3 linked regions of the Alligator mississippiensis genome follow. The protein of the gene in region 2 interacts with the protein of the main gene of each other region in a biochemical or structural test. Links are inferred from orthologs where the notes say so. Each region holds a gene or a part of one and is shown on either strand. Other genes may lie near its edges.

Region 1 (7,368 bases), on a different chromosome or scaffold from region 2:
AAGCACATGAAATGCTAGTCACACACTGTCAACTTCACAAAAATCAAGGTCCTTTACTAACCCACCCCAAGCCAACCCAGGTGCTCCTCCACATATTACAATTAGGGGGTAGTTTTGGGAGAATCTTGAGCATTTCCCCTATGTGGCGTACCTACCTGCAGCAGGGATGCTGCCACGAGATGAGACTCACCTCCAGCGCCAGAGCAGAGGGAAAAGCAATGGCCGCCAAATGCCGCTGAAGACCAAAGGTGCTGCGGTGTGAACATTTCCACAAGAGGAAAAGCATAGGTGGCACAGGGGCAACAGGAAAAGCAGCAGCAGCAGAATGCCACTGAGGACCAAAAGCACCTAAACACACATTCCAGCGTGGGCATGCTTTATGGACTCTTGCTGCCAATGATTCACTGGCCTTCCGAGAGAGGGATAAAATCCATACCAGCCAATGTCCAGGGAGGACCAGAAGTGAGGCCTCCTGAGAGCCAGGAGCAGCAAGAAGTGAATGGATGCCCCGGTAGGGGCCAGTGATGGCAAACCCAAGAGTTGGGGTGCCCAGCTAAGGCTGGCTCAGAGGAGCCAGGATACATACCTCTCATGAAGCCATAGTTCCCAGACAATGCTGATAGAGACTGGGACAGCAGCAAGCCTCCGGAGAGAGGAAAAGAAGGATATTAAAAGCTGTAAGGAATGCCTGGGGAGGGAGTGAGCCCTCAGGGAAGGCACCCCGGGGTATATGCAGCGACAAGTCAGGCTGACGTGACACCTTGACAAGGACAGTAAGCCATCTGAACTGGGACTGAAATTAAACAGGGGCTAATGCCTAGCCATGGCTGACAGTGAGTTAGCCTCGGCCAAGACCTAACATCATCTGTGGTTGGCGTAAGGAAGGGTGTAGGGGAGGTGGAGGCCCAAGACAAAGACCTGTGCGAGAGACCTAAGAGGGAACCAGGAGAGGCAGGACTTCAGAACTTCCTCCCAGCAATAATCTTTACAATCAAGTTGTGGCAGGCGAGAACCCATGGGGACCTTAAGGACTCCCATTGGAAAGCAAGCTGCTGACCCACAAGGGGACAGCAGCACTCAATTGCCCCGAAAAGTCAAAATGCTCAAGTAAATGCCATGGTAAACTACACCACCTTTTCCAAAAAAGTAAATATAGATGACAGTATTCAGCACCAGATAAAATCTGCCAGTGCTACCTTTTGGATGTCTCCAGAACCATGTATTCAGGACCCAAACTAAACTTCTCATCTACCAAGGTGTTGTCATCCTTACCATGTTGTATGGGTGTGAACCTTGGATGACATATCAGAACCACCTGAAAGCTTTGGAATATTGGCATCAGCAATGCCTTAGGACAGTGGTTCCCAACCTTTTTTTCCTGTAGACTGGCACAGGAGCAGGACAGGGCACATGGAGCCGGCTGCCTCCTTCCCGGGGCTGCCCCAGCCCCCAGCTTTAACTCTGTTCACCTTGGAAGCTGCTCACTCGGGCAGAAAGATTGGGGTCTGAGCAAGGGGCTTGTGCTACAACCCAGCAACCAACCCTTCGCAGCCCAATGGTTGGGAATCTCTGCCTTGGGAAAATACCCACTATTAACTGGAAGGACAGAAGAACAAACACCAGCATTCTGGCTCAAGAAATACCACCAGCATTGAAGCCATGTTTATAGGTCCTTTGGACAGGACATGTTATCAGGATGCCTGACAACCAGCTCCCAAAACAGTTCCTATACTCCCAACGCACCAATGGTCACCAGTCCAGAGGTGGGCAAAAGAAAAGCTTCAATGACACCTTGAAAGCCAATCTAAGGAAGTATATTAACATCTATATGTGGGAGATTCAAGCACTGAATCATCTCCAATAGCACCATGATGTGCAACAAGGCATTAATCATTTTGAGCAAATTAACATCACTATGGCGGCAGATAGACAAGAGAGAGAAAAGAAGCTGTGACCTGACATCTCTAGTATCTACTGCTTTGCCTGGAACTATTTGCCATGTCTGCAGTCAAACATGCAGATCTTGGATTGGCCTCCTCAGTCACAGACTCATTGATGACTTTGCTATTTACTGGAAGGCTGTCATCCTCATATTGAAGACTGTCACTGCCAATTGACCCATGTTTTGGTTGTTTGAAATAGAGGGCACTTAGATGTGCAGTGGGGCTGGTTCAACACACAGTAATTAATCCTGTAATTACTGCACTCCAGCAGACCCCAGTGTCACATGCATCAGTGTCCCCACACTGAAAAATAGCAGCAGGGGCACCTTAACTAAAGTTTGCTCAATGAGCTTTAGTTAAAGAGCCCCTGCTGCCACTTTTTAAGTGCAGGGACGCTGATACACATGATGCTCCAGGCATTTTAATCAGACCAACTCAGAGCTGCTCTAATTAAAACCTTCCACCCCACCCCATGCACACTCCTGGACCATGTCTATAAATGCCCAGAAAGTCCTCAACATGAACTAATTTTGAAGAAGCACTGGGCCACCTTTATGAAAGAGAACAGACATGCACTGTGAAAGAGTTAAAGGTGTTTACTGTCCATATATTATTAGTACTTGAACCCTGTCCATCTCAACAACAGAGTACGACTGACATGTGAGGGGTCTGGAAGTCAGGTGCAATTTGGGTGTATCGCTCAAAGAAAGGACTCAAAAAATTATGTTATATCTGATAACTACAAATAGTACTATTATAATGGATATGGCCATAGAGCAAGAATAAGGTACATATTTGTTTGTTCCTTCACCAACAGAAATCTACGCTGTCATACACCTGTTGTACTTTTAGTCTTTGAAAGAGATGAAGCAGGAGGTCATTTCTGCTCATTCCTTTCACTGAGTTTAGGTCTCCTGATTCTAGCTCTATGTTTCAATAAGGCTCTTGTACCCTTTTTGGCAGCCTCTTGGAGAACACTCTTTGCACTGGATTTCCTAAGCCAGTGTAGAAGTGGATGACTGAAAACTTGTCTTAGCCCTAGTTCCCCTCTTGGGATGCTTGTTTTTAGAAAGGAAACCAGAGCATAGTGTGATGTAGGGCTGGTGGGAGTGGTGAAGAGCATGAAACAAGTTGAGGTTGAAGGTAATTAAGTTTATGTGGTAGATGGAGCGTTCAGAGGACAGCAGTAGTTTTAGTCATGGGTGAAAGAGCAAAGGACGCTAGAGGTTGAAGAAGAGAAGTAAAGAGATCACAGTACATCTCCATAGTCATCTTCTTAAAAAACCTTGACAAGATCTCATGTGGAGGCAACAGGATGAAAAGGAGAGGTTATGAGTCAAGAGTGGAAGACTATAGGCAGCATCAATCACAGACTTGGTTCAAATTCAGAGAACCTATAGGTTTTCTTGTCCAGGAAAATGTCAAAATTAAGAGTGGCATAGTACTAGATGCTTTTCAATACATTCTGGAAAGCTTTATTTACTACTTCATTTATTTTTGAAACATAACAAATGTACTCCATCTACTTTGGAGTTTACTGCCATTTTCACTGTTAGTGTGTAGTAGCTTTGCGGTACACAGCACGGGGAAAGCTTGAGAGAGAAACAGTTGAGCCAGCCAAATAAGGCTTATAATTAGACAAGGTGTGGCCTGCTTTGATTACAAGTTCCTTGGTACCTTCTTTTACGTTTTCAGTCCAGGACCCAGCATACTCATCAAAGGTTGTACTGGGGTGTTCAGAGCACCAGCTCTGAGGAAGCCATCACGTTGCTGGAGAACAACTGTGCTAGTTTCTCTCAGTTGTGCCATCCCCTTCACTCTGCTCCATCCGGGCTGTCTGATTTGCCTAATCTCTGTACTGTTATTTCTCAGCGACTGCTTCTATGGTAATGCCGTACTCCACCTAACTACTCATCCCGGTATTGTTTTGAAGAGACCTAGAGTGAATATGCAAAGCCGTGCTGCTGGCTGGTGAAACACCTTTCCTTCGCCTGCTCCTGTGGTCTGCTCCGAGCCGTGTGCCAGGACCAAGGACACTGCCTCCGGCTTCCTTCGCCTTCACCCACAGCAGCCCTCTGGGCCGCGGGGAGGCCGGTCGGGGCCGAAACGAGAGGCACCTGAGCGGCCCGGGAGCGGAGGCAGGGCGGGGGAGCCCCGGGGCGAGGAGAAGCGAGGGTTGGGTGTGAGCGCCAGCACGTGCCCCCGGCCGGGGCGGCCCCAGGGCGGGGGCCGGCTCGTCCTACCCCCGGCTCTCACACCTTGCCCGCGGCCCGCAGCGTCCTCCCCAACATGGCGCCGCCGCCGCCCCGCGGGGGCCTCCTCAGCGGGGGCGGGGCAGCCGCCGGCGGGGCGGGGCGGGGCGAGACGAGACGAGGCGGCGGTTGCAGCGGGGGCTGCCGGCGGAGGGGAGTGCGGCGGGGCAGTGCCAGGCGGCGGCGGGGAGATCGCTCCCTCCCTCCGCGCGGGCAGGAGGCGCCGGGAAGCCCCGGCCGCCCCCGCACCTGCGCCCGGGGGAGCAGCCGCGGGTCACCTGCGCGCCCTCCTGGGGCCGCCGCGGCTCAGAGCGGGTCGGGCGCTGTGCGAGGCGGCGGCCGGGCCGGGCGGCGGCAGCAGCAGCAACATGAACCCCAATGTCACCTACGCCAGTCGGAAGCGGCGGAAGCCCGTGCAGAAGATGTAAGCCCGGGCGGGGTGGGGGCGGGTCTCGTCTCGGAGCAGGTGAGTCCGAGCAGCCCCCGGGCGGGGGGCGCTCGTCGCTCCGGCCGCCCAGCGGCGGCCCCCGGCGGGCGGGCGGGCGAGCGAGCCCGCGCTGCTGACCCGGGCGAGGCGGCGGCCGGCGGTGACCTAGTCTCAGGAGGCATCTAAGGTGACGGGCGGGCGGCCGCCTCGGGCCGGGATCGCTCCGCTCCGCCCCGCCCCGCCCCGCCGCACTCGGCGCGAGCCCGGGCCACGCCGGGGAGGCGGCAGTGCCCGGGGCTCGGGCCCGAGGGCGGATGGGCTCCCCTGCACCCCGGCGGGTTTCCAGAGTGACCCGCTTCCATGTGCCCCCCCACCCCGGTGCGTGCGGCGGGGCAGCTGCGCTTCGCCAGGCGCTGCCACGTCTGACCACGAGACACGTGTCGCTTGGCAGCTCCTGGGCCTGATCCCGACTGTGCCAGAGCCCCCGCCGCGTGGCGATCCTTGCTCCGCTGGGAATGGGCCTTAGGCTTGACTGGCCTGGCATCAGGGTTACTCGCATTTCTGTGACCGTCTATGCTAAGGGTTCCCCACCTTCTTTTGCACCAGGACCCGTTTGTAAACGCCGATTGGCAGTCCCGACCCGCTGCACCCGTGCCCCAGCCACTGGGGCAGGGTGGGCCCAAGCAGCCGCTCACAAGCTGGAAGTCTGCCAGCCTGCAAGAGCAGCCCCACAGTTTCCCATGTTTTTCTCCTATAAAGGAGAACGCATTTTTGACGTTTGTTTGCAGCCCTTTCATATACTTTTGCAGCCCACTTTTGGGTCACAACCCACAGGTTGAGAAATGCCGGTCTAGAGGAAGAAGATAGGTTTTGACATTTAGGTGTCAGGCATCTAGATGACTGGCTTTCGTAAAGAAGTAGAATACAAGACTGTAAGGAAGAAAAAGAGGACCCCCCCCCCCCCCCCCCATGATTCAAAGCCAAAGCAAGGTTCTTATTCTTGTTAATCGCGTGCATTTGTGCAGATAGCATTGCTGGAGTACATCTGCTACACTGAAATCCCTTCCAAAACGTAAGCAAAGGAGGAAAAGGAGTATTTGGGAGACTAGCTGAGTAAGCAGTATTCTTTTATTCAGCACAGCTTACAGCTCTTATTTTGGATTGCTGCTTTGGGCTAGGATGGCTGTTGCTATTACGGTTTGGGGGGGGAGGGGGTTGTTGTTTGCTTTTCAAAAGGAGATTTCTCTTTAAATGAAGGTGCTGTGTTATAGACTTTAAATAAAGAATTAAAAGCTCTGAAAAATTCTTGACTTGGGCAAACAGCAGCAGCCAGGCAGAAAGTGTGGCAATTATAGAAATAAATTGGGGGTGGTCATGCTTTGAGCTGGAGTCGGACTAGATAAACTTTTCTCCACATGTGAGTTGTGACCCAAAAATGGGTTGCAAGAATATACGAAATGGTTGCAAATAAACTTTACAATGGATCAACAAACTTTAAAAATGAATTCTCCTTTAAAGGAGAAAACTAGGAAACCGTGGCTTTTCCCCTGCAGGCTGGCAGAGTTCCATCCTGCATGGGGTTGCTTGGGACCCCCTTGTCCCAAACTGAGGGCCTGCGGGCGCGCAGTGGGTCGGGAGTGAGGGGCACTGGATTCGGACTTGCCATCAATGTTTACAAATGGGTCCCTTACAAAAAAGGTTGAGAACCACTGGACTAAGTGACCTCCTGAGGTCCCTTGCAACCCTAATGTTTTACGATTCTGTGATACTGTAAATAGGCCTATCTACTGTTGAGCTAAAATAGAGAGGTTGAGGTGTTAAAGCAATTCAGCAGTATAAATTTACATTTTATAAAGAAAATAGTAACTCTGTTGCTCTGCATGCAAGTGTATACACTCTACCACCTGTCCAGCTAATAACAACTTTCCAAGTCTATAATTTCTTTGGCTAAAACTTATTCAAAATTGTGGCAATATTTGCTTTTTCTGGTCAGAGAACTTCATGATTTGCTTACTAATAAATTCACTTTGATTACCAGATGTGCAAACTATTTTTATTTTGAGCTATTGATTGTTGTATAACAACTCACTGTTACTATTTTATATTTCTTATTTCAATTGGCTGAACTTCTCTTATTTGTTGAACCTGAAGAATATTTCCTTTTTTCATGAATGGAAACCAATCAACAACATTTTAGGGCTAAAGGGAAAATAAACATTTCTTCTTAAAGTAAATGTTTTTGGTTTGAATGTATCCTATATAGTTGGTGTTTTACCTACCTTATGGAGGAGGAAAAAAATGTTATTATATTACGTAGTGCCCTGTTTGATTGACAGACAACTTGTGCAACATAATTATTTTTTGTTCAGTGTATCATTTATTATCCTCCTCTTACTTACGCTGAATGGTCCTTGATTATTTTTTTATTTTTTTTTTTTGCATTTGTCCTCTTAGATGTTTCCTAAAGCTGCTCTACAGGCCCCAAAGGGTTTGATTTCTTCAATTAAAAACTAATCATAGTACATATCTTCGGGCAAAAAAGTTGAGTCAGTCAGAGAAGCAAACAGTTGTCAGAGCTGATTTAAGAGAGTTGGTTTTTGGTTACAGTCTATTGTTGGGTAGTAAAGCTTTTACATGTTTGTAAAAAGATTTGTGTGCTGTCTATGCCTTCCTAAAACCAAGGTGTCCCACCAGTGGGATGCAATTAGCCTAGCATCAACTTAATTCCGAATTCAGACCTCTTGAG
Region 2 (7,013 bases):
CGAGCCCGGCTAAGGTTGTAGCAAAGGGCAACCTGGCCCTGGGAGAGGAGGGAGAAATAGAAATGTTTACAGTATAATTAAATTTGCAAAGCGGCCAAGTACGGGAAATGCTGGAAAAGAAATGTCACCGTGACTATGAACTGGCTGATCGTATATCAGACAATGGCAGACATGGCCTGTCAATAGTTTTCGAGAGGTACTAATTGATTCGTGGGCCGAGTAGCTCCGGGAATCCGGCCCTGGGGCACCCTGGGGGGGCTCTGCGCTTCCTACAGGGGTTTTCAAAATGCCAGGAAATTTTCTAGCTCTACCTTCGCAGTGCATTTCCTTGTCAGACCAGGGCTTGGTCAGGGCTTGAAAATGCAACCCCTAGGTAAAAGGAAATCTCTTTTCACGTCGGGCAACACGATAGCGTTATATGTATTTAATTGTCCCCCCAGGAGGCAGATATGTATGTAGGGGAGCGTACATTTATTTCTTTGCAAGGCTTAGCAGGTGAAGTAGATGCCTAAGACATCTCCGGAATAAAGATGTCTCCAGAACTCAGCCCTAGCTTATTTTTTGTTACATTCTCCTGCACCCAGGCTATTAAAAAAAAACCCACAAACCCGGTCAATTGTGTTCTCTACCGATGCCCCTGAAATAGCTTTTTAAAAGTTGTGCCAAAATGCCCACTGATCTCTAGGATGAACATTTCTTTCCGGAAGGGACAAGCGAAGGGGAGAGAGCGAGTCGGAGTTCCTGCTTGCCTTTCCCAGAAATGAAATCAAATAAAACCCAGCAAAGCTTCCGCGATCCCAACCTGTGCTCGGTTAAGGGACACAGGCTGCTCCAAAGGAAATGAAGCTGGAGAGAGCCCCTGAATTGCGTTGCTGCTCTCCTGGGCTGTTCTGGCCGTGTCAGATCCATGGCACAGGGCAGGTTAAATAACAATAAAAGCTCCCCGAATGGAACCTGAGCTTGAAATCATTTTTAAGGATTCTCGTAATTTGTCGGGACAGGGAAATACCTTTTGCCAACTGAACCTTGTTTGGACCTGGACGGCTGCTTGACTTGCATGGCTAGGGTGCCCTTGACTCAGCCCTTTCCTCTTCCCCCAGACTTCCACTTCCCCACGGCTCGGAGAAGATGCGATTTCTTTCAGAGATAAAGACAGCACTCACGCAGGTTTCAGCCTTCCTTAAAGGAACTGCTATTTAAATACCTATTTAACTGATGCTTCCCACATCCCCCCCCCCCATGCCATTCAGCAAATGAATATCATCCCTAACATCGCCACCACAGTGGGGGAAAAAAATCTACCTTTGAAATAGACCAATTGGAGGTGTTTGGGGCTTTCTTCTGATTGTAGTGTATTCAGTGCAGAGGACTCTGATTGCTGTCCCTTTAATCTGTTGACACTATCACCCAGATAAACAGGCTGCCATCGATCTTTTCATTAGGTGATCAAATAACAGAGCAGGTGAAAGACAAGAGCATTAGCATGCTTCCCCGTCTTCCCAGGCATCATTATTAGAAGTATAAGTTCAATTCCGTAATTACGTGGAAGAAATCCATGTGCCTGAGTTGTGTCTATGATATTGGCGCAGACACACATAGGTAAACACACATCTGTTGTCTGAACGAGGTGCGGGTGCGTGCGCGAGTACACAAATACTCACGCACGGATCTGGATCTGCGGTGAAAATGCCTTCTAAGAAAATACTTACAAACTGGAGGCAATAAATATCTCCCTCTCTAACCGTGCCGTCAGCTGTAATATGCCTGAACTAGAGGGCTAACGGGAGGCAGTGCTGAAAGAGGCTCGGAAAAGCAGGCTAGATGTTAGGAGGGGGGAGGAAAAAAAGTTATCCTTGCAAAGTGCAGCTCGCCTGGAACTGCATCACAGTGGGCTTCCAACTCAATGTAGACACAAGTTAACCCCCTTAGAAACACGGAATAGAGAAAGCAGTACTTGCCTGGGGTAGCCTGGCTTGGCCGGGTTTCTGGGTGCCAACTGCAGCGATCCAGGCTCCGAGGAAACCTTTCCAAGGAGGAGCAGGGCGCAAGCTGCTGGGTCCGTCCACCTTCTCCCAGGCTCTCTCTGTCTCTCTGCCTCTCTCTCTCTCTCCCTCACTCTCTGTGTCTTGCTCTGCCTCTTTTACTCCCTGTCTCTTCACAGTCTGGGGAGTAAAATCTAGATGATATACATACAGGGCTTGCTTTTTTTGTCTGATTTAATCTTATTCGTTTCACCTTCTCACTGACCAGGAGACAGGAGCGAGAGTTTATTTGGAAAGAGGGAGAGAGAGGAAAAGAGCCCACTGTTGCATAGTCAATAACATCCTTTTTATCAATGCAATATACAATAGGGGCGGCTTGGCCAGGGGGACTCATTGAAAATCTCTTCATTATTTCAGGACAAAATAACCCGTTTATTCTGATCTTAGAAATGAGCCGGGACCCCCCCCCCCCTTTCCCCTCCTGTCATATTTGGGAACTAGACAGGGAAATCAAATCAGTAGCAGTGCACAGCAAAGTTGGGGTTTCTTTTCTCTCCTTTTTTTAAGTGAAAGAAGCAGCTTTCGCGGAGGGAGGGGGGGAATAATCCAACTTCTGTTAATATCCCCCCTCCTCCCCCCGCAGATGTGGCTTGGCTGCCACCCGGATTTGAAACTTTTCGAGGAGCTAAGAGCACTTCTTGCAGTTGGTTTCCTCTTTGTCAGGCACAGCCATTCGACCCGAGGCGAATGGGAAAGCTCTCACACCCTGGGAGGGTGCAGGCAAGGAGGCTGCAGGGGGGGAGGAAGAGACGCTGGTAGAGTTATTATTAAAAAGCAGGGTCTGCGCCCCCCTCCCCAGTGCAGTGGCTTTATTAAAAAAAATAAGGGAGTGGGGGCAGAGCTGTAAAAAAAGATTTGGTGGCTTCCTGCTGCTCTGGAGAAAGCTCCGGCTTTGTGCTTGGAGGAGGAAGGGGGAGCTCGCGTCTGGGCTCCTGTCCGCTAGATGGCAGCCGGATCCACGATTCAGCAGTGCGGCGGGTAGGAGGGAGGCATGGAGCCTGGCTCCCTGCCCCCCCCCGGCCCGGCCCGGCCCGGCCCGGCTTGGCTAGCCCGCGCGCTCCAGCCCGCACGGGAAGGATGCGGCTTCGGCTCCGGCTCCGGCTCCGGCTCCGGCTGGGACTCTCCTCCGCCAGCCTTGATCTTCCCAGACAACAAAACGGGAACTTACTTTTGTTTTATGAATAATTGCTGGAGCGCCGCCGGCTGTGCCAAGAGCGGGGGGGGGGGGAGGACAAGGGGCCGCTGCAGGCGGGGGGGGCTCATCCACAAAACCTCAGTCTGCCAAGTGGGGGGATGGGGGAGGCTGGGAGCGGGGGGAGCGTGGTACTAGGAGGGGGACTTTGGGGGGGCGCGGTTGATCCCCTTCCAGGACCCAGTGAATCCCGGTGGGGGCGGTGGATCCTCATGGCAACTAGAAAAGGAGGGAGAGGCTCCAAGGCGCTGAATGGGAGCGAGCCGCAAAGTTGGACTAGGATCTACCCCGCTCTAAGTAACGTCTGTCCGCCCCGGGCGCCTGCCTGCCCCCCTTGCCAACCCGCGAGCCCCGGGGCCGGGGGCTCCCGCTGCGAGCCGGGCGCGGGCATCCCATCTGAAAAAGTAATAAATAAATAAATAAATAAATAAATCGTGACCCCCCCCCACACACACCCCCTCCACACACACACACACACACACACACACAAACTTTTCAGACTGAGCCAAAATAATTCTGTTCCCCTTTCCCTCTATCGCAATGCACCCCCTTCGGAGGGGTGTGCGTGTGTGTGACCATAGGCGACCCATACTAATCAGGTCTCAAAGTAAATAGCAGCGCCGGGCGATCTCAATGTAAATTGTGCTTGTCAGAAGAATCCCCCTCCCTCCCTCCCTCCCTCCCCTCCCCTCCCCATCCCAGGCAGTAGGTAGCAGAGAATAAAAAAAAAAAAGGGGGGGGGGCTCTTAACCAATGGAGTGAAGGAGGCTTGGCTAACCTTAGCCTCCCATTTTCTCTCCCCCCAATTCAGGGCTCTGACCAGTCAGTCGCCTTTGATTATCAGTTGCCAGCAGCCCCTCTCTTGGCTCCTTGACATGAGCTCCATATAAGGCAGCGATCTCCATAGAAACGTGTCAGTTTCAATAGTAGTGTCAAAGTTCACTATATACAGACATTCGCGCAGATCCCCCTTTCGGAAACATTGCTCTGCTAGGCTTCCCGTTTAAACGCATTCATTTTTTGGGTCTCTCTCTCTCTCTCTCTCTCCCCCTCTCTCTCTTCCTCTCTCTCTCTCTCTCTCTCTCTCTCTCTCTCTCCCTCCTTTCTTGCATATTCTATTAGTTGTTTTTTTCTTCCTCTCCCTCTTCTCCCTCTTCTCCTTCCTTTTCTTCTTTTTTCCACCCTTCCTCCCAGTGTCTTTCGCTTCATTCCTGCAGAAGAGAGGTGAAACTAAAAAAAAAAAAAAAAGAGAGAGAGACAGGGGGGGAAAAAAATCCCAGAGAGAGAGAGAGAGAACGCGTTCACCTCTTCATGCCAGTATTATTATTCTTTTCTTTTCTTTTTTACCATTATTGTCTATTTTTTTTTATTTCGGGGGTGGGTTTTGCTTCTGCCTGATGAGTTTTTGTCTCTGAAATACTTTTTTTTTTTAATGATTCTTATTCTTATTTAATCAAACAAGAACCTTTTGGGGGGGGGGCGATCTCCAGTGGCTTTGGGAACCGGCACCGGGTGTTGTGAGCGGAGCAGAAGGAAGGGACGAGAAAGAGGAAAAAGAAGAGGATTTATTTATTCGACCTACTTTGGATCTCTCTTTTTTCTGCGGGTGTCATTATTATTCAGCTGCTTCTTTTTTTTTTTTTTTTTGCTCGACTCTTCGCCGTGAATCCGGCTCCTCTGCGAATTAGTCACCTCCAGTGCTTTTTGTGTCATTCTTCGTCTTTTCCGAAAAGACCCAGAGAGGGAGAGAAACGACCGGCCACAAGAGCAGCAACAACAACACAAAATCAAACTGTCTAATCTCCGAGCCCTCCTCGCTCGCGCTTCCCAAGACTGGTTTCCTGAATGGCTGACTGCGTTGTGCCCTGGACCTGGCCCCCGGACACTCTCATCCCTTGATCGCCAGGAGCTTTCTCCTCTCTCCCAGCCCCGCGCCCCCAAAAGCGCCGGCAGCGGCGGCGGCAGCGGGGGGGAGCTCCAGCGGCACCAGGACCGGCCGGGCCCCGGCAGCGAGCAGCGAGCGGCGGCGGCGGCGGCAGCCCGACCTCCTCCTCCTCCTTCTCCTCCTCCTCCTCCTCCTGCTTCCTCTATGTCTGCACATCCTTTGCACTCCTAGCGCTCGGACTGTGTGTGGCTGGTGCGTGCTCTGTGTGTGTGTGTCCGGCGATTACCTCCCCAGTGTGACTCTCCTGAATGCCTCTCCTAGCCGCCTGGTTTGCCGTGTCTGATTTTGCAACTTGAAAGTGGAGGGGGGGGGGAAAGGAGCAAATCTCGGTCTCGCTTTCTAGCTATTGCCAGGGAAAAGAGGGGGGGACCCCCAGAAGCCCTGCTTTTCCCCCCTCCCCCCGCAAAACCCAGGCAGAGAGAGAGGGAGAGAGAGGGAGAGCCAGAGGAGGGGGGCTGCAAAAATCAAGAAAACGGCAGCGCCGGCTCCAGCCCCAAGAAACAGCAGCAGCAGCAGCACAAGGGCAGCAGGAGCAGCAGGAGCAGCAGCAGCAGGCGCTGGAGCAGAGGCAGCCGCAGCCACGATTGCTTCTCTCTCGTCTCTCCCCCAAACCCGAGCCACCCACCTCCCCCCTCCCCCCTCCTCTCCCAGGCAGCCCTCGGCGAGAAGCTCCGCTCCCCAGCACTTTTTGGGCCCGAGATATGGCAATGGTAGTTAGCAGCTGGCGAGATCCGCAGGAAGACGTGGCCGGGGGCAACCCGAGCGGCCCCAACCCTGCAGCTCAGCCGGCCCGGGAGCAGCAGCAGCAGCAAGCGGCCTCCGCGGCCCCGCACACCCCCCAGACCCCCAGCCAGCCCGGCCCCCCGTCCACCCCGGGCACGGCCGGGGACAAGGGCCAGGGCCAGCAGGGCTCGGGCCAGAGCCAGCAGCACATCGAGTGCGTGGTTTGCGGGGACAAATCCAGCGGCAAACACTACGGGCAATTCACCTGCGAGGGCTGCAAAAGTTTCTTCAAGAGGAGCGTCCGCAGGAACTTAACTTACACATGTCGGGCCAACAGGAACTGTCCCATCGACCAGCACCACCGCAACCAGTGCCAGTACTGCCGCCTCAAGAAGTGTCTCAAAGTGGGCATGAGGCGGGAAGGTGAATATTTCTTCCCTATTCTACTCTCGCTCTCTCTAGATCTCTCGTGTCTCTAGACCTGCAGCCCAGCTCCAAGCTTTGCACCCAGGCTTTGGGTTTGTGCTGCTGCCCTCCTCCTCCTCCTCCTCCTCCTCTCCCCCCCAACCCCCTCCACCGCCACATGCTTCCCTTCCCTCCTCATTGTGATGAGAATTTATTATTACGATCACTCACTAAATATGTATTATTTCTCCGGGATCGCTGCTCTCCGGATGGGATTTGGTCTATTGTTGGCATGAGGCTGGGGAGGGGGGGGGGCATCCCTCTCTGCGAGCTGTGTTTCCATTCATTTCCCCACCCTCTCCCCCTGTTAGTTACAATTTTAAACCCCCCACCACCACACTTCGCAGTAGATCCATTTCCAGCATCATCTTTCCTGAAAGAAAGATGAAAGACGTGTAAGTAGGAAAGAAAGGCGGGGGGGGGGGAGCCCCACACAGGGGAGGGGGGATGTGCTACTGTGTCTCTGCTTCCTTGTGCTTTCCACTGTGTTGGAGTCTGCTCCTTGCAAGATCTGGCCTTGTTTTCACTCCATGCTTTCAAAGGAAAGTTTGTGACTGAACCGTGCTTTCCTAGCTCTGTCATCCTCCAGCATGCTGCTCGTTTTATTTCTCCATCAAACTCCACCCTCTCCTTAAATACTGCATAC
Region 3 (7,830 bases), on a different chromosome or scaffold from region 2:
TGTGCTAAAATGCCTGTATTTCCTGCTCCCCTCCTCCCCCCGGACTACTCCCACCCCCTCCTTCAATTGATACCTTTATTTTTTTCTGCCACTGTTCAGTATGCATCCTGATTTCTCCTCCAGCTTCCTCAGGATGGAGAGATAGAGAAACACAAGAAGGGAGGGGGGAAATTGCATGCAGCTTTGCCTTCCATTCCTCCCCTCCAAACCCATTGTGCACGCAGCTCCTTGGACCCCCGAGTTCACTGTTCCTCTGCCTCATTATTTACTTCCAAGTAAGGCGATCAGGAAACGAGATCCAATGCAAGAATGAACCTACCTGGCTCCCCTCTCTCCCAAAAATGTTTCGCCCTTCTCAATACATTCAAATGTGTGCAACAAACACACACCCGCAAGCCCCTTTCCAAACCAAATCTCTTCTTGCAAACGAGACACGAAATTAGTGGGAGACATTGCCTTAGACGGTGCAGATGTTTTTTTAAAAAATCAACCAGAAAAAAGGAAAACGCAATTTCCAAACCGGCTGGGTTTTCTTTTTTTTAAAAAAAAAAATGCAATTAACAAAGAGGTTTTGGGGAAGTATCCACCTTTTTAAAGGGGAGGCAAATCTGGTTACAAAATAGCACTGAATGAAAAAACACCGCCCCCCTCCCCCCCGAAAGGTGCCAAATGCATCTTCATTTGTGTTGCACCAGCTGATGGTTGGGGGTGGGGGGAAAGGGGGTAAAAAGATAAAGTAACCAGAGAAGCAAAAATAAAATAAAAAAGAAAAATAGAAATGGCAGAACCCGGACGCCACCCAAAATATCTAACGGCAGGGGAAAAAAAAGAAACAGATCACCATCACCATCCTCCTCCTCATCATCCTCTTTCCAACAAATTCTTACAAAACCCAGTTTTCTCCGCGGGAACAAAGGAGGAGAGATCGCAACCACCAAATACTCCTGGCAGATGGCTTCTCTTCTCGCCTGTCCAGGGGAGGGAGGCTCGGGATATATTTATTTATTTATTTAAATTCTTTAAAATCGAACATAAATATTCGGATTCGCGGCGGCTCCGAGGCTCAGCCCCGGCTCGCGCCGCGCGCCCCGCTCCTCACAGCCAACTTCGGGACCTCTCCGCCCGGGGCAGGGGCTCTGCTCGGGGCATCCTGCCACTTGGGTTGGATTTGTTTTTTGCCCCCTCTTTACCTCTGAAGCTGAGGGGGCTGGGGGGGGGGAGTGCTTGCCACCTTCGTGGCACCTAAAGGACGGCTGGATGGCTTTGCATTGCACTCAGATGGGTGCCAGGCGAAAGAAGGGAAATAAAGGGCTAAAAATTAGAAGAATCAGGGATGGGGGGGGAAGGTGCCTGCTCTGCACGCGTGCACACACGCATCTACACACACGCGCGCGCGTGCACACACACGCAGTGACCTGTCCCTCGGACCCAGCATCTCCCCCAAGGTTTTTTCCCTGCTCCCCCCCCCCCCCGGTTCCGGTGGGAGCTTTGGCGGAGCGCAGCCTCCCCCCGCCTCCTATCCCATCCCATCCCATCCCGGGCCGGCTCTCCGGGCTCCCCCGCCCCCCGGCGCTGTGCTCCCCACCCACCACTCGCGCGGGGCCGGCGGCGGCGGGCGCAGCGCGGGGCCCCGGGGCCGGCGGCACCTGCGCGCGGAGCGGCCACCTGCAGCCCCGGCCGCGTCCCGCCACCTCGGCCTGCCCCGCACGCCCGGACGGGCAGGGGCAGCCGCTCGCCAACTTTTCCCCGCGCTTGCTTCCCGCCCCGCCGCCGGCTCCCGGCTCGGCTCCGCTGCAAACTTTGCTTCCCCTGCCTCCCTCTCGTCTCCCACTCCTCTCCCTCTCCCCGGCTCCGGCTCCGGCTCCGTCTCCCCCCACCCCGCCGCGGCGCGCGCGCGCCCTCCCCCTCCATTCCCGGCCCCTCTCCCTGCCTGGCTCCCGCTCCGCGCTGCCCGCCCGGCCCCTGCCTCCGCGCCGGCTCCTGCAAACTTACGTGTGATAATCTCTCTTTGTGACAAGTGCTGCGGGTTCCCCTGCTTGCGACGGGACATTGCCCTGGCATTTACACTGGCATCGCCCGGAGAGCTGCACTGGGTTGGGGGGACGCGCGTGGGGGGCGGGGGAGCGGCCGATCCTCCTTCTCCTCCTCCTCTGGATGTGTCTGTCTTCTTCTCCTGCCTTCTCCGGGATGGATTTTTGCTGCTGCTGCTGCTTCTTCTTCAGAAAAAGAAAAAAAAAATGAAGACAAGCGGCCCCCTCTTTGTTGTGGCGGCGGCGGTGCACGGGCTGGGATTCCCCCTCAATTAAAAATCAGCATCACGAGGAAAGAAAGGGGGGAAAAAAAAGAAAAGGAAAGGGAAAAAAAAAAGCTCTTTCTGGTGCCTCGCGCTGTCCCTCACACGCGTTCTGCCTCTTTTTTTTGTTTTGTTTTGGTTTTTGGTTTTTTGTTTGCTCTCTCCTCCACCGCTCGCACTTCCAAATCTCTTCTTGAACTTAGGAGGCTTTGCACCGAGAGTGACACTTTTTTCGCTCTGTCTCTCTCTCGCTCTCTGTCTCCAGAGTGCTGGGCCAATGGGCAAGTGCACTTCTTCCAGCAGAAGGGCAAAAAAAAAGAAGAAAAAGTCTTAAAAAAAAAAAAGAGAAAAAAACACAAAAAAAGTCGAGCTGGGGCTTGCCCACGCGCACCCCAGAAAAATGCCAAAAAAAAAATATTTTTTTTGTCAGAAATGGACCCTTGGCTGGGCTATTTTGTTAAAGGGGCAGCAGGACTGTGTCTCCTCTTTCCCAGTTCAGGTAGCACTGCTTTGCCCTAGTGCTTTTGCATTGCCAGTGCCTCTGCACCACTTGGCACTCACTGCTCCCCTCGCCTGGCACTGGGACTGGAAGGAAGGAAGCCCCTAGTGCAGCTGGGCTGGTGCTGGCTATTACTATTATATATTGCAATGTGAAGATGGCGGAGTCCTGGTTCTCTGGGAGCGCTCTGTCTCTCTATGGCTGGGGCTGCCTCTGTACAATGGGATAAAATTCAAGTTCAAGTGCGGACGTGACGTTTAATCTGCACTAGAGACAAAAAAAAAAAAGACCCAGAGAGTAGGAGCACTGGGGGCGACTAGCGGTGGCTTTTTAACATTGTACCCTGCAAGAGAACAAGCAGCACACACACACACTCACACGCGGAGACACAAACTAAAGCACATGCCTGCGCGGGAGCAGCGCCGGGCTTTGTGCGCCGCTGCTGCCCCGGCCCTCGGGAGCGCCCGCAGACGCGGAGCCAGCGCGGGGACACGAGCCCCTGCCTCGCCCGGCTCTGCAGCCTCTGCTCCCATAGCTGGGGGGCGGGGGGGGGGTCGCCACCCTGGTGGGGGCTGGCTCCGGGCATGTGGATTTGGGTCCCTTCCTCACCCGAGCCCAGGCCCCGATGAGGTGCGGTGCGGGGGGACCCCGGCGGGAGGCCGCTCCTCCCGTGGCCCATCTTTCTCCTGCCCCCCTGCAAGCTCCGAGGCTTCTCCTGCTCCAGGCAGCGCGGCAGCCGCCGGGCATTTCTTCCCGACACTTTCCCAACAAGGCAGGAGCCGTGTGGGCTGAGGGGGGGGGTCGTCTCTCCCTGCGCGGGGCTGCAGGGGCCCCGCTTCGCCCTCTCGCCTTCCCCGAGCCGCGCGGGCGCCCGCCGGGCGAGCGGGGACCAGCCGGGGCCGTGCAGCTCCCTGGGGAACGAGCCCCTGCTTGTACTTGCCACATCCTCCTCTTTCCCGCGCAGGTGAGCGCGCTGCTCGCTTCAGGACTCCTGGAGCCCAACTTTTCCTCCCTGCCCCGTTGCACCGGCTTGCCTTTCCCCTCCTCCCGCGCTTTCAGCACCACGTCTGGACAGGGCGAGGGGCTGGGGGCTGGCAGGCAGCGGGAGCAAACCCGAGGGAGAGGCCGCCTCCGTGCGGGGGAAGGGGTCCCGCCCTCCTGCCATCTCCTCTCAGCCTGGCAGGAATTTGGGGGTGGCGGCAAGCGCCGGGGAGCCGGGGGCATGGAGGGGGGAGGGGGGCGCATCTCGCTGCCCCAAACTGCCCGGAGCAGAATTGGGCTGAACAGCAGCGCTCGCCGCCTCCTCTCGCAAACTGCGGTGCAAACCTGCCACTCGCAGCTGGGGCTGCTCCGGGCCGCAGGTCCTGTCCTGCAGCCCGGCGCGGACCCGCCCGGGGTGGGCACGGAGCCAGCCTGGCCGTGCCCCGCTCTGCCCCTCACAAAGAGCGGGCGAGGGAAAGGCGCGTCCCCCCCGGAGGCCGCTCGCGTCCTCCCCGGGGTCGCGGGGCTCACAAAGGCAGGCAGCGGCGCGCTCCGAGCAGCTGCCCGCAGCTGGGCGGAGAGGCAGCGCCCCGCTCCGCTCCGCGCGGCCATTGCCCGCAGGTTGGCTGGGGAGGGCAGGCGGCGCCAGGCCGGGGGCAGCTGGGGCTGGGGCCGCAGGGAGGGGGGCAGCTGCCTGCGGAGGAGCCCGCGGGGCCTGCCCCGGGGCCGGGGGAGATGGTGCCTCGGCATCTTCCTGCCAAGGGATCCTTCTCAAAGCTGCCCTCTCCCGCAGCTCCAGCCCGGGTTACCTAGAGCTCGAGAAGGCACCAGCCCCACCTGGTGTCAGCATGATGGATGCCACTGGGGTCAGCAGAGCCTTTCCAGGAATGCGGCTGGGAGACTTCCACCGCCAGGCAATGAAATGGCAATACAACCCAAACCAGCACCAACTGGCCCCCGGGCCGCACGCTCGGGGCAGGTGTCCGTAGCCCCCTCCTCCCGCCGTCCTCCTCGGCCCCTTCCCACGAGAGTTTCTTTCTTTATTCCCTCTCGCCCGCTCCCCTCCCCTCGCACTCTGCCGGCCTGGCGAGCAGTTCGCGTGTGCGCCACGTGTGTCTCGGCCCGCGCGGGAAGCCGGGGCTGAAGGTGTCCTTGCCGGCCAGGGGAGCGGGGCTGGGGCAGAGTCCAGCCTGCCGCGCCCGCTTCCAGAGCAGGGCAGGACGTTCAGCAGCAAACCTTATCAGGCAGCTTCCTGGCCATCCTCTGTTGATTCACTCCTGTCTTAACAGTGGGCATCAAATCAAAGATAAGGGCACATCAATGATTGACCACGCCGGCCTCCTTCGTCCCCTCCAGTGGCAGCGCCTGGGGGGACGCGGGCTGAGGTGCGTGCACTCCTCGTGTCAGAGCCCAGGGCTCTAACACAGAGGTCTTTTTTAAAGCCTCGCTTCCTCCTCCTGCTCCTAAAATGTATCCCAATAGGGGGAAAAATATTCCAAAGTGATTTCTCAGTCTCCTCTTTCCTCCCCTGTCTGGCACTTGTGATCATTAGCACTGAAAGCTGTTAATGTCTTGTCTCACAGCTCCCCCTTTAGTCTCTTTGCTTTCCCTGTCTCGCGTTCAAAGACAGATCAATAGCAGGCTCTTTCTAACCTTGACCTATCCCTCGACCCCGCCTCCATCTGCAGCTGGCCCACTGTTTTGTTTTCCCACTCTGTCGATATCCAAGTCCCACTCGGTGACAGCAGACAAACAAGAGGGGCTTGCTGCTCCCAGGGGGCTCGCGGGCCTGGCTCTGCCCACCCCTCCCCCAGGCCGCCAGCCACAATAGCGCGCTGGCCGGAGCATTTCTGTCCCACTGATTATTGCACTGCTTTGTCCAAGTCCCTTTTCTCCCTCTCCCCTTCGCATCATCCGACTGTAAGAAAAGCGGGCCGTGCAAGTTCCACCTTGTGATCAGATGAGAAAGGCGAGCACCACACGCACTCGCCTCCACCCTGCTTTGACACCTACCGAAACACGCCTCCTGCCCCAAAGCCAGGAGAGGATTCTTCATCCTTCGAACAACCCAACTGAAAAGGACCGGGGGAAAAACAACAAAACCAAGAGCCTTTGAAAAGGCGATTAATTGTAAATTAGCAGCAATGCAAAAATGTGGTGCCAACTTGCCGATCATATTTTTTCCAACCTGGATTTTAACGAGTCAAAGTCTCACCCCAGCCTATGCTCCTTGCTATCAGGAACAAGAAGCTAATGCAGCGTTAAATGTGCCATTTCATTCTATATACAACAAGGCGCGCTGAATAAAGAGCAGATATTTTAGCTTCTGGGATTCATTTTTTTTCTTTCTGCTTTTTAATTATATGATGTCTAAGTGCGGAAATTTGGCATGGCTAGTAATAGCAGGAACTTCGAGAGAGACAGAGAGAGAGAGAGAAAAAAAAACTCCCAATACTCTGGCAGGGTTGCAATCCTATACAATAGGACTGATCTGTCACCTGGCCCCATTTGGGCACATTTCCACCTTCCCCCCATTTAGCCACAGAAGTTTTCAGGACAATAAACACTTCCGTCCCAGATCCTGTCTGTTGCGACTTCGGTTGCTGCGCAGTCTTTGCTCCGAAAGCTCGAGCTAAGTGAGAAGCAAATAGGTTTGGAGAAGAGATGTAGGCGCGCGTGTGTGCGTGCGGGTGTGCGCGTGTGCGCGTGTGAACAGCCTTGGCTCAGACCAGCCGGCTCGTTCCATATTCCTGGGGAATCTTTGCACGTTGTTTGTGGAAATCAGAACAAACACAGGGCATTGATCCGATCGCCTTACTTACCCGCTCCACCTTGCGAGGAGATACAGAAACACAGGATCTAACCAGATCATATTTACATACATATTAATAAAGCTCCCGAGGTGGCAGTTGTGCCTTCACATTCAGCGCAAGGATTTCTGTGAGTTCTCATTTCAGACCCATAAAAAAAAGAGAAAAAGAGGTCTTTGGGGCTTCCTGGAATATTTTTTTTTCCTGCGATGATTTCATATAATTTCTCAAAATTACATAGTTAAGTGGCATCAAATTTCAGGGTGATATAATAACTCAAAATGTGTAAAAATTTTTTGCATCAAATCACTTAACTGCAGTAAACAGGGCTGCAAAACCTCAATCAGAGGAACTGTTTGGTGTGTTTCTTCAATTTATGGAGCACAACAAAATTGTTCTCGTTATCTGTTAAAATATATATAAATTGCACCATTTATTCCCCTAATTTCCTTCCTCCTGAACGTGGAAAACACAGGAATATTTCAAAGTGCAAGTCAATTCAAGTCTAAAGAGGATAATGCCTAGCCTCCCAGCCCTATTCCCACACCGCATGGGATGCAAAGATCCCTCTTATCTTTCTCTAGATTTGGTTTCCTTCCAGTTTGCTTAATTTTCTCTGTCTGTTGCTGACGTTTTTCGGGACTGGCTTTGGAAAGTAATATTCCAGCAACCTTCCCCTCTACAACCTCAGCTCATTTGGACTCTCCTGCCTTGTCCAGCTGAGCTCCTCGCTTTGATCATCTTTCCAAACGTGAAAAGCACTCCTTCAGTGACAGTCCAAATACGGGGGCCTGATCCTGCCCTCCCTCATCCCAGTTGCACAAAATCCCAACCAAAAAAATGCAAGCACAAAAGCACACATCAGCTAGGGAAACAGAAGGGAGTGCTGGGAGCGTGAGTGAGGCAGGCTCACTCACTGCCCCTCTGCAGGGGGCTGGAAGAGAAGCGAGCCTATTTAAGTTACACAGCCTTCCTGAAGCCCCGACTTCGGCTCCCCTCGTTAGTCCTTCTCTGTGCTGAAGTCACTGCCAAAACTTCCATTGACGTCAGTGGTAGCAGGATAGGGCCCTATAACTTGGAAGCATCTCTTTCTGTTCCTTTCCTTAGAGTCAGTTTTGTATTTTCCCTCCCCTCCCCTCCCCCTCCCCCTTACCCCCTTCGCAACAACTTCCCAGGGAAAAAAGAAATCTGGGACAAGCTGCAGGGTGTGTGTGCGTGCCTATAGGGAGCACACTTCATCAGCATCC

What was found. The genes of interacting proteins can lie anywhere in the genome.
Region 1: the proteins of NR2F1 (region 2) and AHR form a complex in vitro, tested with the Homo sapiens proteins (2 studies listed by BioGRID). The link is inferred for Alligator mississippiensis from reciprocal best matches to the Homo sapiens genes NR2F1 and AHR.
Region 3: the proteins of NR2F1 (region 2) and BCL11B form a complex in vitro, tested with the Homo sapiens proteins (2 studies listed by BioGRID). The link is inferred for Alligator mississippiensis from reciprocal best matches to the Homo sapiens genes NR2F1 and BCL11B.

Annotation. Positions count from the first base shown.
Region 1 is NC_081828.1:163,341,848-163,349,215, reverse strand, and holds the start of AHR (aryl hydrocarbon receptor), read left to right. Parts: upstream 1-4,356; 5' UTR 4,357-4,563; coding exon 4,564-4,619; intron 4,620-7,368. UniProt on the Homo sapiens protein: Ligand-activated transcription factor that enables cells to adapt to changing conditions by sensing compounds from the environment, diet, microbiome and cellular metabolism, and which plays important roles in development, immunity and cancer.
Region 2 is NC_081826.1:240,947,540-240,954,552, reverse strand, and holds the start of NR2F1 (COUP transcription factor 1), read left to right. Parts: upstream 1-4,013; 5' UTR 4,014-5,880; coding exon 5,881-6,325; intron 6,326-6,678; exon of another isoform or gene 6,679-6,762; intron 6,763-6,803; exon of another isoform or gene 6,804-7,013. UniProt on the Homo sapiens protein: Coup (chicken ovalbumin upstream promoter) transcription factor binds to the ovalbumin promoter and, in conjunction with another protein (S300-II) stimulates initiation of transcription. Binds to both direct repeats and palindromes of the 5'-AGGTCA-3' motif.
Region 3 is NC_081825.1:281,772,772-281,780,601, forward strand, and holds the start of BCL11B (B-cell lymphoma/leukemia 11B), read right to left. Parts: upstream 3,013-7,830; 5' UTR 2,051-3,012; coding exon 1,993-2,050; intron 1,400-1,992; exon of another isoform or gene 74-1,399; intron 1-73. UniProt on the Homo sapiens protein: Key regulator of both differentiation and survival of T-lymphocytes during thymocyte development in mammals.